Linked DNA regions of Pelodiscus sinensis. The main gene of each other region encodes a partner of the protein of the gene in region 2 in a complex. Links are inferred from orthologs where the notes say so. Each region holds a gene or a part of one and is shown on either strand. Other genes may lie near its edges.

Region 1 (7,486 bases), on a different chromosome or scaffold from region 2:
GCCTGTATATAAAAGGAAGTTGGTGAATTCATATTCCAGCAGCAGCGGGGGGTCCTGCGCTTCTGAGGCTTTGCGGGTTTGCTCGCGGTGCCCCTGGTCTGCTGGGGACCGTCTCCAGCAAACCAGGGGCACCGGGAGCAAAGCGGTCCAGCGCCAGAGCAAAGCCTCAGAGGCGAGGCACCCCTACCTCGAGTCCCATCTTCACTCCTTCCCCCTCACCTACTCCGAGTCCCCCCATCCCCTGCCTCCAGCCCCCCCACACTTGAACACCTGCCCTGACTCCCCTACACCCAACCCTTTGCCCTGAGCCCCCACATTCTGCCCTCACTCCAGAACCCGGCAACCTAAGCTCCCCAACCAGTCCCCTGCCCTGACTCCTGCACCCCATCCACTATCCTGAGGCACCCCACCCCATATCCTGATCTAGGGATACGAAGGTTTAACCAATACTCCTTGTGGGTTAAGATGAACAGATGAGGCTGAAGCAGCTCTCCATCTGCTGCAGGTAGGGGCTGCTCCAGCCTCACAGGGGGCCTGCTATGGACAGGCAGGGGCTGCTGTGACTGGGATGCTCAGAGCAGTCCCTGTCTCTGAGGTGCCCTGACCCGGTCACAAGGAAGAGCTGCTCCATTGTCCCAGTCAGAGCACCCTTTGTCCGCAGCCCCGCAGGGTACCCTGCAGGCAGGGACCGGCCAGGCTGCAGCAGAGGGAAGGAGGGAGGGGTGTCCCCTCTCTCTCCCCCAGCAGTGGGAAGGGGGAGCACACCCATCCTCCCCCTTTTAATCGATTAAACAATATGTTTAGCTGGTTAGCCAATTAAAGAGGATTTTACATCCCTACCCTGAGCCTCTGCCCTAAGCCCGCCACACATCTCACAGCTCCCTGCCCTAACTCCTGAACCAAGCACCCCACACACTCAACCTCCTGCCCTGAGCCCTGTCATTTAAGTAAAGCATGTACTTTTTTTTAATTTAAAAAATTACTAAAGACCAAGCAATGCCAGGTACATCTGCTAGTACTACATAGCCTAAGTAGGTCTTTGTTACAAAATAATAAACCCTGAAACTATCAATGTGATTACAGTCTATGCTCTTTGAATGTCTGCTGACATTTATTCTCACTACATGCCACTTACTGGACATATAATAAATTGCCATGTACAGAATAGCTGACTAATTTCACTGACTGAAACCAAAAGAAAATACAAAGGCAACAGACATCCTTTTTCACATACATAAGCGTGGCTCTTATGCTATAGAGGGCTACCTGGTATTTAAAATCTGATGCAATAAAATATTTGCACAATTGATATTATGTTATGTCCACAAAAATTATGAAAACTTTTAACAAATTCTAGCTCTTCCTGGAGAGTAATAACATGTCTGCACAACCTTCAACTTTATTATCTGGAACAGATATTTTAAACTACATTAGACTACAATATGTTGCCAACATTTAAACATGTAAAACTTCACCCTTAAGTAAACTTTTGCTAAGTATCATTAAATAGCTAGCCTCAGTTCTCTCTATAAAATACTAGATAAGAATAATTTTATTTCAACTACAGCTTTACCACAGCAGAAAAGACATGTAAGAGGGCAGACATTTATATACTAGGCACTATTTGTTGCATTGTTTAATAGCTAAGGACTCCAGATTACTTTCTAAATAGGGTGAGGATTGGTGCTCCTCCACTAAACAACACACAAAAAGGAAAGAATACTGCCTAATTTAGAAAAGATCAATCATCAACCTAAATAAACAGAGTGATAAGCAACTGCTACTTTAAAATTCCACAGCTTCAACAATTGGGATTACGAACTGCAGACTAATACGGAAGGGACTAATAGCTAAGCAGAAAAAGCAGGAACTGAGTGACAAAAAGAGCGTGTCTGTGTCTCTCTCAGTCTCTGCCTCTGGTGCATGCACCTCCCAGCAGCTCTCTCCCTATTTAAAGGCTGATGTGGTGTTTAAATGGAGAGGCGGTGACGTGGGGCTGGAAAGCACCTTCCCATCCTGGCAGAGTCTATATTAGAGAGCGGCAATGGCTCTATATAAACAGGGCAGTCACAGGGAGGAGGAACACAAGGAGCAGGGAGACAGAAAGGCAGGGGAAGCCATGATGGATCTCACAGCGAAACACAAACAAGGGGGCCAAGCCTGCACCGTAACCGCCCGGACTGGGGTTTGTCGGCAGCTTTTCGGGGGTAGGCTTGTGGATGGGTTTATTCTTGTCAGAGGGAAGGGAAAGAAGCGATCGGTGGGGCTTGGCGGCTACAAAGATTTATGTGACTGCTTATTGCACATCTATGTGAATACAAGTAAAACAAGCCACCGCCGAGAGTGCAGAAAGCACAAGGGGGAGGAAGGGGTGAGTTGTTCGGGTTTTTTTTAATTACTTCCTTGCCACGGGGAAGAGACTGGAGGGGGGTTTCTCCTCCGTCAGCCGAGTCTGCAGGGCTGGGACAAGTGCTTTTCAACCATTGCCTCCTTCTTATAAAGCTACATAAAATGGCTCCAGCAGCGCCAGGCTGAGTTCGCCTCCACATACGCCACCCGCCCGCCCCCTCCCCCGGCACAGGAGGCAGCGCCTGGCTTCCCCGGTAGCCTCTCCCCCCAGGGGAAGCCGCTCGCCCCCTCCCCAGCCGCCCCCCAGCCTTGTGGCGGTGCAGGCGACGGAGACACTCGGCTCCCCCCTCGGCGCTCCTGGCTGGGAGACAGGCTGCTGCCCGCCGCCGCCGCCGCTCCCGTCCCACCCCGCCGGCTCTGGCGGGTCCCGGCGCCGCTCCCCGGCAGCGGCGGCAGAAGTTGGTTCCTGGTTGGGGGGCGCTGCCCCGCTCAGGCCGGCCGTTCCCGCGGCGGGGCCGGCCAGGGATGGCGGGGGGCTCTGAGGCCCGCCTGTCGCCCGAGCCCCCCCGCTCCCTCCCCGTCCCGGTCCTTACCACGGGGTTTGTGTTAGACGAGCTCGCCATGTCCCGAGCCCCCCGGGACACCCCACCGCGGCGGAGTCGCCCCTAAAACAATAAACCTGCCCGGCGCGTCCCCCCGACCCCGCGCGTCCCGCCCCGGCGCACGGGGAGCCCCGCGGCCTGGCCCGGCCTCCTTCGCCGGCCCTCGGGCTGCAGCCGCCGCCGCCAGCCGCCCGCTCTGCCCGCTTCGCCCCTTTATATAGCAAGAGCCGAGCAGCTGCGCGAGCGGCCAGGGCGAGAGGGGGACGCGGGCGGGGGGAAGCGAGGCTGCGCGAGAGCTTGTGGGACCGAGCTCCGCCCGCCTGAAGTCACGTGGGAGGCTCGCCCTGCCGCCATGACACCTACTGAGGCGGAAGTAGCGAAGAGGTCACCTGCGCGCTCCCGCTCAGACCTAGCGAGGCGGAAGGGAAGGTCCTGGACGCTTAGTGCCTGTGCCTGGTGCTGCAGCCAGGGGCTCATGTCCGCTGCGTGTGTGCTCCGAGATGGGGCTTGCGGGGCATCCGAGAGCTTCTCCCCGGGACACGGGCGGCGATTCAGCCTTGTAGTCGTGGGGAGGCGGAGGCTGCAGGGCGCTCCCTGGCCGAGATGCATTGGTAGCATCGCCTTTTGCATCAGTGTGTATTCTAACCTGCAGCCCCTGATCTGTGCTCGAACCCGGCTTGTCTCCGGCATCTGTCTCCATAGAGCATAGGAACAGTGGATGAGAGTGAGTGGTGGTAAATTTAAAAAAAAAAATCTAGTAAAGGGACTTACATTTTTCTGTAAGGCTTAATTAATTCCCCAAAAATATCGATGCTAAGAGCTAAGCAAGATTTTAAAAGACATTAACAAAGCTTTTCATGGTTACTTTACAGAGGATAACAAGAAAGGGATATGAATTTTTATGTCTTTCATCTTACATTTAGGCTAGTGGTGGGCAGTCTGCAAGCCGCATGCAGCCCATCAGAGTTCTATGAATGACTTATGCATAGTGTTGCCTGATTCTGCTGGCTTCTGTCTGCATAAATTTTTTTCCTACAGGTATTACTAAAGCGTTTTGCACGTATAGTAAGGGCGCAAGAAGTACGTTCTGATTGCACACAACGTTGACTGTGAGAGCCATGTATTCCCTCTACATTCAAACCACTGCAATCAGCAATCTGCACACCCCACAAATTATAGGTGAGCAAGCACTCAGCGACAGATATAGGGCAGGGCGAGCGGGGTGGCTGTCCCGGGCCCCGTGCTTCCAGAGGCCCCACACATGCGCTATGGCGCATGCGCTGTGTCAAAGCGGGGGGGGGGCGTAAAATTGTGTTGCCCAGGGCCCTGCAAAACCTTCCACCCTGCAAGCACTGTTAGCAAAACTACCCTATCCCGAGAATCCATTTTGGTTACAACAATCTTTCAGCCTACTGAGATGGAGGGTCTCTCATGCAGCCCACCTACTAGCCCAGGTTGCCCATCACTGATTTAGTCTATAAGATCCTTGAGCCAGAGTCTATGTTTTTGCTCTTTGTTTGTACAGTCAGGCCCGCTGACAGATGAGGGTAAAGGGGGCAGCTGTTCTGAGCCTGGCAATTCAAAGGGGACCACTGCTGTCAGCCACTACCACAGAAGCAATAGTGGCTGGAGCCCCAGGTCCTTTAAATGATTGCTGGAGCGCTAAACAGCATGCTCCAGGCAGCTCTCAGCACTGGCAGGGGGTGGAGAGGCGAGCACAGTGTGCTCTGGACGGTGCTGATGCCTCCAGCTCTGCCCCTTTTGCCTGAGGCCCTTCCCCGTCCAGGAGCATGGAGTTATTCTCCCCACTTTATTGAGGAACCCAATAAATCTGCTTCCCCCCACCCCCATCATATACAGTGGAGTGGGTCCTGGACCATGACTAGTCCTGTTCAGTTCTACAGTTACACAAATAATAATAATGATAGAAATGTAGCAGTGTTAGTCTGGTGTAGCTGAAACAAAATACAGGACTATGTAGCACTTTAAAGACTAACAAGATGGTTTATTAGATGATGAGCTTTCGTGGGCCAGACCCACTTCCTCAGATCAAATAGTGGAAGAAAATTGTCACAACCATATATACCAAAGGATACAATCAAAAAAATGAACACCTATGAAAAGGACAAATCTAATTTCAGAACAGAAGGGGGATGGGGGGGTGGGGGAAGGTAAATGGTATGGTAAATGGTATCCTGGAATGGGGACAATGATAATATTGAATATTTAGAGCATGTAGTTGCTAACAGGACCAGTGAAAGAAATCTCAAATTGTGTATCTTTTTCTGATTTAACAGTGCTGTCTAGATGTAGCCAGTGTCTGCTGAATCAGAACAGCCCATAGGGATGAATACATCTTGAAACAACAGCTCTAAGATGTGTGAATTTTTCCCTTCATCTCAATGAGTGTACCATCCCCATTCCCGAAAGCTTGAGTCTCTATGATATGCATTAAGCATGTCTGCTCTCAACTCTTCATCCCCATTTCAGCTGTGTGTTCTTGACACGTGGCTCCTAACATGCCTGATCTGAGCTCCCCACCCAGAAGGACAGGGCTTCCCTAGATCTCCAAAGCCCCCTCATTCTCCTCCACTTGTGATCCAGCACCCTCAGGTCTTTTTTAATCCCCCTCCAATTTCCTTGAGTCCAGTTATCAACTCTCCCAGCCCCTATCCAGTGACCTCTCCTGGCCCCACGTTCCTATCCATCCTTTTAGCCCTGTTTGGCCCTCACTAATTTGATTCTACACCCACACCCACGCCCCAAGTCATCCCATATTTCATGACCCTAGAAGGCAAGGGAGGCCAATAATTAATCTGATGCAGAGCTACCTACCTGATTCTTTTATAAAAAGCTGCATGCCATCCTCCAAGTCTCATGGATACTTTAGAGGAGTCCCAGACACAGCCCCTGCTATGAACAGCGAGGAGAAGCATGGGGGACTGACTACATGCAATCCATCTGTGTGGCAAGTCAGGATGTGTTTTTGACTCCATTGCAATCCAGCTACTCCTGATACTCAAATGCAAGTGAGCCTAATGCAGGGGAAAGAACTTCTTATAAGTATGTAGTTTGCTGTTGATTTACTCTTTTTTCCATTTCTGCTAGAAGTAGTAGTGAAACAAACCAGAAAAGTAGAGTTAGCAGTGCGGTGTTTATGTGCAATGGGATATCCTGTGAATCTTCCATAAAGATCTCAGTAAAGCTTTCATGGAGGTACTCTGCAATCCTCTGCCAAAGACTCCCAGGGAGGGCTGCCTTACTTCTCCCACCATGGCACAACACTCTCCCATGCCATTCAGTGATTTAGTAGGTATCATAGCACACAGACTAGCAGTATCTGGGCCTGGGTAGCAATGAGACACCAGCAGCAGCTGTGCTCTCTCTGTCCCTGTTACCTTCAGGAGTGAGATATCAGCCAAAGTTGACACCACCCAAGGAAAACACTGTGGCTATGTCTAGACTGGCATGATTTTCCGCAAATGCTTTTAACGGAAAAGTTTTTCCGTTAAAAGCATTTGCGGAAAAGAGCATTTAGATTGGCACAGACACTTTTGCGCAAAAGCACTTTTTGCGGAAAAGCGTCCGTGCCAATCTAGACATGGTTTTGCGCAAGAAAGCCCCAATCGCCACTTTCGCCATAGGGCCTTTTTGTGCAAAACAGTTTTTATCTGTCTACACTGGCCCTCTTGTGCAAAAGCATTTGCGCAAGAGGGCTTATCCCTGAGCGGGAGCATCATAGTATTTGCGCAAGAACACTGACAATCTTACATTAGATCGTCAGTGTTCTTGTGCAAATTCAAGCAGCCAGTGTAGATAGCTGGCAAGGCCGCTTTTGCAGAAAAACTTACCAGTCTAGACGCAGCCTGTTAGTATTAATTTTCCATTGCTCTGTACAGTGGGATGGGCAAGAATTTTTGATAGGGGGCCACTCCAAGAATTTGGTAAGTGGTCAAGGACTGCATTCTTCTATATCAACAGAGATGCGGGATCTGGGATGGAAGTTGGGTGCAGAGGGGAGTTTGGGGAAAGGGATTGGGGTGCAGAAGGGAGAGTGGGGTCTGGGAGGGAGTTTGGGTGAAGGAGGTAGTTGTGACCTGGGGCATTGGTCTGGGGTGCAGGAGATTGGGATGTGACCTGGGACAGGAAGGAGTTGTGACCTAGGGTCATAGTTCCCACTAAGGTGCATGCCTGGGCGGCTGCACACAAAAAAATTCTTCCCCCGCCAACCTGTTCTGGAGAGCTGCACAGGCAGCTGCTCTGGAGGGCAGGGCCAGCTGAGACACCATAATGAGGGAGCACTAGGGCGGGGGGAGGTGGGAGCAGCTTGCTCTGGTGGCCAGGGCTTCCACGTAGGTGGGGAGGGGAAACGTTTGTTCTCGTGGCTGGCACCAGGAACAGGCCCTGCCTCATAGTGGAGTGGGGGGTGTCTGCTCCAGTGGCTGGGAATGGAACATGCTGCATGGAAGGGGGGGTTGCTCCAGCGGCCGGGAACATGTGTGTGTTAATAAATTTGGTGCCATGGTGGCACACAT
Region 2 (7,273 bases):
CTAATCCTGCCATTGTCTTGAATGAAAGCTTTCCTGGGAGAAGCAGAAGGTACACAGTGCAGTGTAGTAAGCCATTCCTTCAGGCAACATTGAGCAATGTCAAACTACAGCTTCAGAGACTTAAACAAATTGGTCAGATCTACAGTTGTGTAGAACTAAGTTTGTTAGCTTTTTAATCTTCTAGTTCTTTAAACTATTATCATGAATATAAAAAAGTATATATTGTGTGGTTGAATGCAAATCCATATGGTGTTTTTTGGATTAGCAAAGGTGTTACTGCCAATACCATTTCTTACCCCCTGGGAACTTCCTATCTTGTATTCATGACAAGTATGCAGTGTCAAATCATGTTAAAAAAAAAAAAAAAAAAAAAAAAAAACCCAAAGCTTTTCTATCCCCTCTCCAAAAGCCAAAAGTGATGTTTCATAGATTAGTACTGTTACTCACCCTTATCTACCAGAAAGCTATTGCTAAATAGACTAAACCAGGTACTAGTAAAAGTGAGATCCAGCAATGCCCATTTTTTAAGATAGATTTGGATGCTTGTTGTTGTTGCTTTGAGGTGCAAAATTCATTCCAGCATTAAAATGAAAAGCTTTGAACTCTACACAGTCTTATTGACATCACTAACATAATGCAAAATTTGGTGACTAAATTTCTTTCCTATGATTTACTCCTTATAACCAAGTTTGAGTTGGGGGGAATTTAAGGAAAGCCATGAAGTAAAGTAGATTTGTAATCTGAACTGCTTGTCGTGCCATAGCAAACAACTTCTCAGAGGTTGTTGGGGGAAGTAGTCCTTTTAATTTAAGAGCCAAATTTCACCCCCTAGAAACATGGGACTTACACTGCCCTAAGGGGAGAGCCATGAATGTACACTGGAGGGAGCAGAATTTTCCTACCCAAGATAAGATTTCTAAGTCAAACTCTGGATCAGGAACAAAGAGTACTCTGTTTGGTTTGTGTGTTAAATTTTCTCTGACATTACTTCAGTATCTTTTTTGGATCATACTTTACGTTCTACCATTAGCAGTACCTTGGCAAAAATTGGTAGCAACAAAAGGTGTAGTTCAGTTGAGCTCTCATGTACTGAAAGGACAAAATTCAGTGAGCTCATTTTGACTAGCTCTTTTAAAAGGAGAGAAAAGACTGGATAAAAATTAGTGAATTTTTGACCTGATCACTCAGTCATGTTGGTGGAACTCCTGCTAGTAAGGATTGCAAGACCAGACTTCTTGTGTGGAGAAGAGAAGAAAAAAATGTGGGTTTATACTGAATGTAACATGGGGAATATTTCAGAAAGTTTGGCATCTTTTTTCCCTGTAATAGATCTTCTCTTCCTCCATCCCCTGAGAATATAAACGTGGATATAAAAACAAGCATTACATTTTTTTCCTGTCAGTTTTACAATAGTTAGCTTACTACTGGTCTAAATCTGTCATTCATTTTAAAATGTAAATGATTTATTAAAACTTAATGTCTGCCATCTCAGATGTCACACAGTTCATTTAATGGAATATCATTGTAAATAAATGTTGGAGACTTAGATAAATTTGAAAGTAGGCTTTTTAATTTTCACAATGCTATGAATAAATGTGTAAATTTGCCCTTTTAATCTAATGTACATTTTTTATGTAGCTGTTAAATTCTCTATATTTAATCTATCAGTTTCTCTCTGTAAATGTTTTTACTCTCAGTTGAATGCTGGGCACAGTTTGTAATGTATGTACACAAAGGTGTTTTTTTCTATCAATGTTGACTTTTTTGCACATTTTTTGAAAAAGTTTAATTAGTACACTGATTTAATACTCTGACCAATTGATGGGTGTATGAGAATCACGTATGTGTGCAATGTACTACTGTCTGGATGTGTTTTTTATTCCTTTTGAGATGTTGCTATCAGTAACTGCACTGCTGCTGTTGCTGCTTTAAATGGAATATCTTATGTAAAAGTGTATTAGCCTATGGTTATATCTTGGTTGAGGAACTCAGGAGTTGAGCATTACTTACTAGTTCCATAATGTATCTAGCAACTTTCCAAACTTTAAAGTGTACTTGTAATTCTGCGTATGAACTGAATGTGTGTGTGCGTACACATAAATATGTTCCAGCAGTCTTATTCCACAGTTTAATTTCTACATTTTTATGAACTTGTTTTTAAGGGTACTATGTTTAGTTAGAATAATTAAATATATAAAAGCTTTGAGAGATAATTTACTAGATAAATATATTTTCAGCTGGCTGATGTTCAGAAAATATTTTTTTAATTTTGTTTTTAATCATTCAAAATGTATTTGTATTTCCAAAATTGGACATGAATTGTACTTAGAAGTATATTAAAGCACTCTGGAGGGACAACAGTGTGATTTCTCTAAGAATTTTGTTAAAAAAACAAACCCAAAATGCTTAGTGTCAGTGATACAGAGAAAATAACTGTTGTGAAAAGGGGAAAGCAATCTTTGACTTCTCAAAGCTACTTGAAAAAATGTGTGAAAACAAAATGAACCTTGGAAAAGTCAGATTTTTTCCATCTCTTGTCCTTTCTGTTGCATGTAATGTTAATGCTTCTCTTTCTTTACCCTTTTCCCTTTCCAGTTTTCTGGTATTGGAAAAGATAAGCATGTTACTATATCGCTGATTGACTGGCACATAAGAAGTTCAGAACATGCTTTAAAAATGTGGCTTACTCCTTTCAAGAATACCAGTCAAACTTTTGACTTCCAATTTGTTTAACATTTTTGTGGCTTAAAAAATAAAAATCCTGTATGATGTTTAAAGTGATACCAAGTAAAAATTCTCATGCTAGGTACACAGTGCACTGCTGAATGTCTCTAATTCCATAGTTTAGGAAAAGAGCCAGTATACTCTGTTAGACACAGGACCTACTAATTGCCTGGTACGTGTGGTTTCTTCCACTTTTCATGCACATTTTGACTTTGTTACATTCTCAAAATTGTGCTTGTAAAAATGTATAAACTTTTTTGATTTTTTTTTTTTACTTTTGTATGTATTTACCTGTTTTTTTTTCTTGCTGGTAAATGGCTTTTATTTTGTTTGGGGTTTTTTTTGTATCTGATGTTAAAAGAAGCCATGTTTATATTTTGTGTTTGATCAATGACTTTGTTTATATGAAATTTGTATATTACTGGTACACATCTTTGTTTAGGTTGATCATGCATGAGAACCTGCAAGAATTAGCACAATGAAAGATTGCTTTTTCTTCCAAATTTTTATTCATTTTTGAAAGGTTATGGTGCAGAGGTTTACAGGATGTAACCTTATGAACTATGGAACAACTATAGATAATGGCACTTTGAGTGTTAATAAAATATTTATTTCCAGTTTATATTTCTCTTGATTTGTCTCCAAGACAGCAAATATATGTATTCACATATTACATTTGCTTGCAACACTAGACAAGTAACATATCTTCTAAGTAAAGCAAAATATAACATGCAAGTAATGGTACCAAAAGCATCTGTCTACACCCAAGCTAGAAAGTTTAAATCTACAACAGTCCTCTTTTATAGATGTGAAAAACCCTCCCTCATGCTGTAAAACAAATGCCTCTGATTTTTTGTTACACAAAAATTCACCCTGCCCCCCTGCTCTTGTGCAAGATTTACAGTAGGGCAGCAGAAGACAGGGCTTCTTGTGCAAGAGCTATGCTCTTTTCGGACAAGTGTAAGCCTTCTTGCCTAAGAGGGCAGTGTGGACGTATGGCAAGGGTTTCTTCTGCAAGAAAGCCCTACAGCTAAAATAGCTGTCAGAGCTTTCTTGCACAAGAGCTCGTCCACACTGCCATGTGCAAAGCTAGACCTGTTCTTGTGCAAGAACCTACCAGTGTAGATGCAGCTGAAGTGTTAAAATACCTGTTTTTATGACTTAAATCGAAGAACCATGGCCCTGATTGGGCAATTTTTTATGCATAGTCACACTACTAGCTGTGTAGGAAGCTCCGCTGAAATGGGCGGGGCTGCAGCAACCTGCCCCTGGCTCCAGCGGCGGGATTAGCATCTGCTACCCGCATTGGACGTTTCTGATTGGACCCATCGTTATTGCGAAAACGCGGAGGGGCGGGACCCGCTCCCCCAGGTGTTTATGACGTGGGAAGGGGGGGCGGGGCCTACCCCCTAGGTGTCTATGACGAGGGGCGGGGCCCACTCCCCCGGGTGTCTGTGACGGGGGAAGGGGCGGGGCTCGGCCGAGCTGGGAGGGGCGGGGCGCCAAGGGGGCCGGTCGCGCGCTGGCCGTTAGAGCGCGGGAACGGCGGCGGCGCGCGCCTGAGCCCGCCCGCCGCGGCGCTGGAGCTGGCCCCTCCCCCCCCCCGCGGTGGCCGTTGGCCCGGCCGGCGGGCGGGGCCCCGCTCCGCGCAGGTGGAGTGTCAGGCCGGTACCGCCGCTGCGATTGGGCGGGTGACGAGGGAGGGCTACACGGGATGGGCGTTGCTAGGTGACAAGCTGGGCGGGTCCCCGTGCCGGAAGTGACGCGCAGGGCAGGCGCCGGGCCCAGCGGTGGTCGCGCGGCTGGGCAGTGACGGGCCCGGGACGATGGGCAAGCGCGAGCGAGGTGAGAACCCCCCCCCCCCCCGGGGCGCCGGGCCGAGCGGCGGTACCTGGACCCCCCCCCCCAGCGGCCTGGGCCTCCGGACCTGAGCCTGTCGGGGGGTGGGGGTGTGTCGGGTGTGGGGGGGGGTGTCTGGGGTGTGTGTCGGGTGGGGGTGTGTCGGGTGGGGGGGGGGTGTCTGGGGTGTGTGTCGGGTGGGGGTGTGTCGGGGTGTGGGGGGGGTGTCGGGGTGTGTGTCGGGTGGGGGTGTGTCGGGTGTGGGGGGGGTGTCGGGGTGTGTGTCGGGTGGGGGTGTGTCGGGTGTGGGGGGGTGTCTGGGGTGTGTGTCGGGTGGGGGTGTGTCGGGGTGTGGGGGGGGTGTCGGGGTGTGTGTCGGGTGGGGGTGTGTCGGGTGTGGGGGGGGTGTCGGGGTGTGTGTCGGGTGGGGGTGTGTCGGGTGTGGGGGGGGTGTCGGGGTGTGTGTCGGGTGGGGGTGTGTCGGGTGTGGGGGGGGTGTCGGGGTGTGTGTCGGGTGGGGGTGTGTCGGGTGTGGGGGGGGTGTCTGGGGTGTGTGTCGGGTGGGGGTGTGTCGGGTGTGGGGGGGGTGTCGGGGTGTGTGTCGGGTGGGGGTGTGTCGGGTGTGGGGGGGGTGTCGGGGTGTGTGTCGGGTGGGGGTGTGTCGGGTGTCGGGGTGTGTGTCGGGTGGGGGTGTGTCGGGTGTGGGGGGGGTGTCGGGGTGTGTGTCGGGTGGGGGTGTGTCGGGTGTGGGGGGGGTGTCGGGGTGTGTGTCGGGTGGGGGTGTGTCGGGTGTGGGGGGGGTGTCGGGGTGTGTGTCGGGTGGGGGTGTGTCGGGTGTGGGGGGGTGTCGGGGTGGGTGTCGGGTGGGGGTGTGTCGGGTGTGGGGGGGGTGTCGGGGTGTGTGTCGGGTGGGGGTGTGTCGGGTGTCGGGGTGGGTGTGTCGGGTGTGGGGGGTGTGTGTCAGGGTGTGTGGGGGGGTGTGGGTGGGTGTCGGCGGGGGTGGGGGTGGATGTGGGTGTCTGGGGTGTGTGTGGGTGGGTGCGTGTGTCTGGGGGCGCCTCTGTGCGTTTCTGTGCATGCGCCTGCCTCTGGGTGCCTGTAGCTTTCTTCGCTAGGTCAGTATCCGAGGAGGAGCCCTGCTCCTGGATCAGCAGAAGCGGCGAGGAGTCCTGTGGCACCTTATAGACTAACCGCAGTGTTGGAGCATAAGCTTTCGTGTGCAAAGACTCACTTCGTCAGATGCATGCAGTGGAAATTCCCAGAGGCAGGTATAAACATGCAGGCCAGAATCAGGCTGGAGATGACGAGGTGGATCCAATCAGGGAGGATGAGGCCCGCTTCTAGTAACTGATGTGGAGGTGTGAATACCAAGGCTGTGTCCGGACTCAGGGTTTTTTTTTTTTTTAAAAGTAGCCTTTTTTCGAAAAAACTTCACCTGCGTCTAGACTGCAGCTGCGTTCTTTCGAAATTAAATCGAAAGAACGCGACTTTTCTTTCGACAGCGGTAAACCTAATTCCACGAGGAAGAACGCCTTTTTTCGAAAGTGCTCTTTCGAAAAAAGGCGTTCTTGAAAGCAAACAGGGCTTTTTAGAAAGAGAGCATCCAGACTCACTCGCTGTTGTCTTTCGAAAAAGCGGCTTGCTTTTTCGAAAGTTCCGCGTGCAGTCTAGACGCTCTCTTTCAACAGAGGCTTTTTCGAAAGTATCTTTCGAAAAAAGCCTCTTTCGAAAGAGGCTTGCAGTCTAGACATAGCCCAAGAGAGGAGAAGCTGCTTTTGATAGGATTAGGATGACAAAAGCAGCTTCTCCTCTCTTGGTATTCACACCTCCAGATCAGCAACTAGAAGTGGGCCTCATCCTCCCTCATTGGATCCACCTCTTCTGGCCTGCATATTTATACCTGCCTCTGGGAATTTCCACTGCATGCATATGACCAAGTGGGTCTTGCCCATGAACACTTAGGCTCCAACACTTCGGTTAGTAGATAAGGTGCCACAGGACTCCTTGCCACTTTTGATAAGATAAGGAGTCTTGTGGATAAGGGAGAAGCAGTGGATGTGGTATACCTAGACTTTAGTAAGGCGTTTGATACGGTCTCACATGATATTCTTATCAACTAGGTAAATACAACTTAGATGGGGTTACTATAAGGTGGGTTCATAACTGGCTGGATAACCGTACTCAGAGAATAGTTATTAATGGTTCACAATCCTGCTGGAAAGGTATAACAAGTGGGGTTCCCCAGCAGTCTGTTCTGGGACCAGCTCTGTTCAATATCTTCATCAACAATTTAGATATTGGCATAGAAAGTACGCTTATTAAGTTTGCAGATGATACTTAGCTGGGAGGGGTTGCAACTAATCTGGAGGATGTGGTCATAATTCAAAATGATCTAGACAAATTGGAGAAATGGTCTGAGGTAAACAGGATGAAGTTTAATAAAGACAAATGCAAAGTGCTTCACTTAGAAAGGAACAATCCGTTTCACACATACAGAATGGGAAGCGACTGTCTAGGAAGGTGTACAGCAGAAAGGGATCTAGGGTTCTAGTGGACCACTAGTTGAATGAGAGTCAGCAGTGTGATGCTGTTGCAAAAAAAGCCGACATGATTCTGGGATGCATGAACAGGTGTGTTGTGAGCAAGACATGAGAAGTTATTCTTCCGCTCTACTCTGAGCTTGTAGGTAGGCCTCAGTTGGAGTATTGTG

What was found. Proteins that work in one complex are often made in the same cells at the same time.
Region 1: ERCC3 (region 2) and GTF2A1 share a complex: the UniProt entries of both Homo sapiens proteins name them as parts of the TBP-based Pol II pre-initiation complex. The link is inferred for Pelodiscus sinensis from reciprocal best matches to the Homo sapiens genes ERCC3 and GTF2A1.

The regions. Positions count from the first base shown.
Region 1 is NC_134714.1:38,763,689-38,771,174, reverse strand, and holds the start of GTF2A1 (transcription initiation factor IIA subunit 1), read right to left. Parts: upstream 3,083-7,486; 5' UTR 2,973-3,082; coding exon 2,943-2,972; intron 2,372-2,942; exon of another isoform or gene 1,893-2,371; intron 1-1,892. UniProt on the Homo sapiens protein: TFIIA is a component of the transcription machinery of RNA polymerase II and plays an important role in transcriptional activation. TFIIA in a complex with TBP mediates transcriptional activity.
Region 2 is NC_134717.1:3,276,955-3,284,227, forward strand, and holds the start of ERCC3 (general transcription and DNA repair factor IIH helicase/translocase subunit XPB), read left to right. Parts: upstream 1-4,254; 5' UTR 4,255-4,550; coding exon 4,551-4,569; intron 4,570-7,273. UniProt on the Homo sapiens protein: ATP-dependent 3'-5' DNA helicase/translocase. Binds dsDNA rather than ssDNA, unzipping it in a translocase rather than classical helicase activity. Component of the general transcription and DNA repair factor IIH (TFIIH) core complex.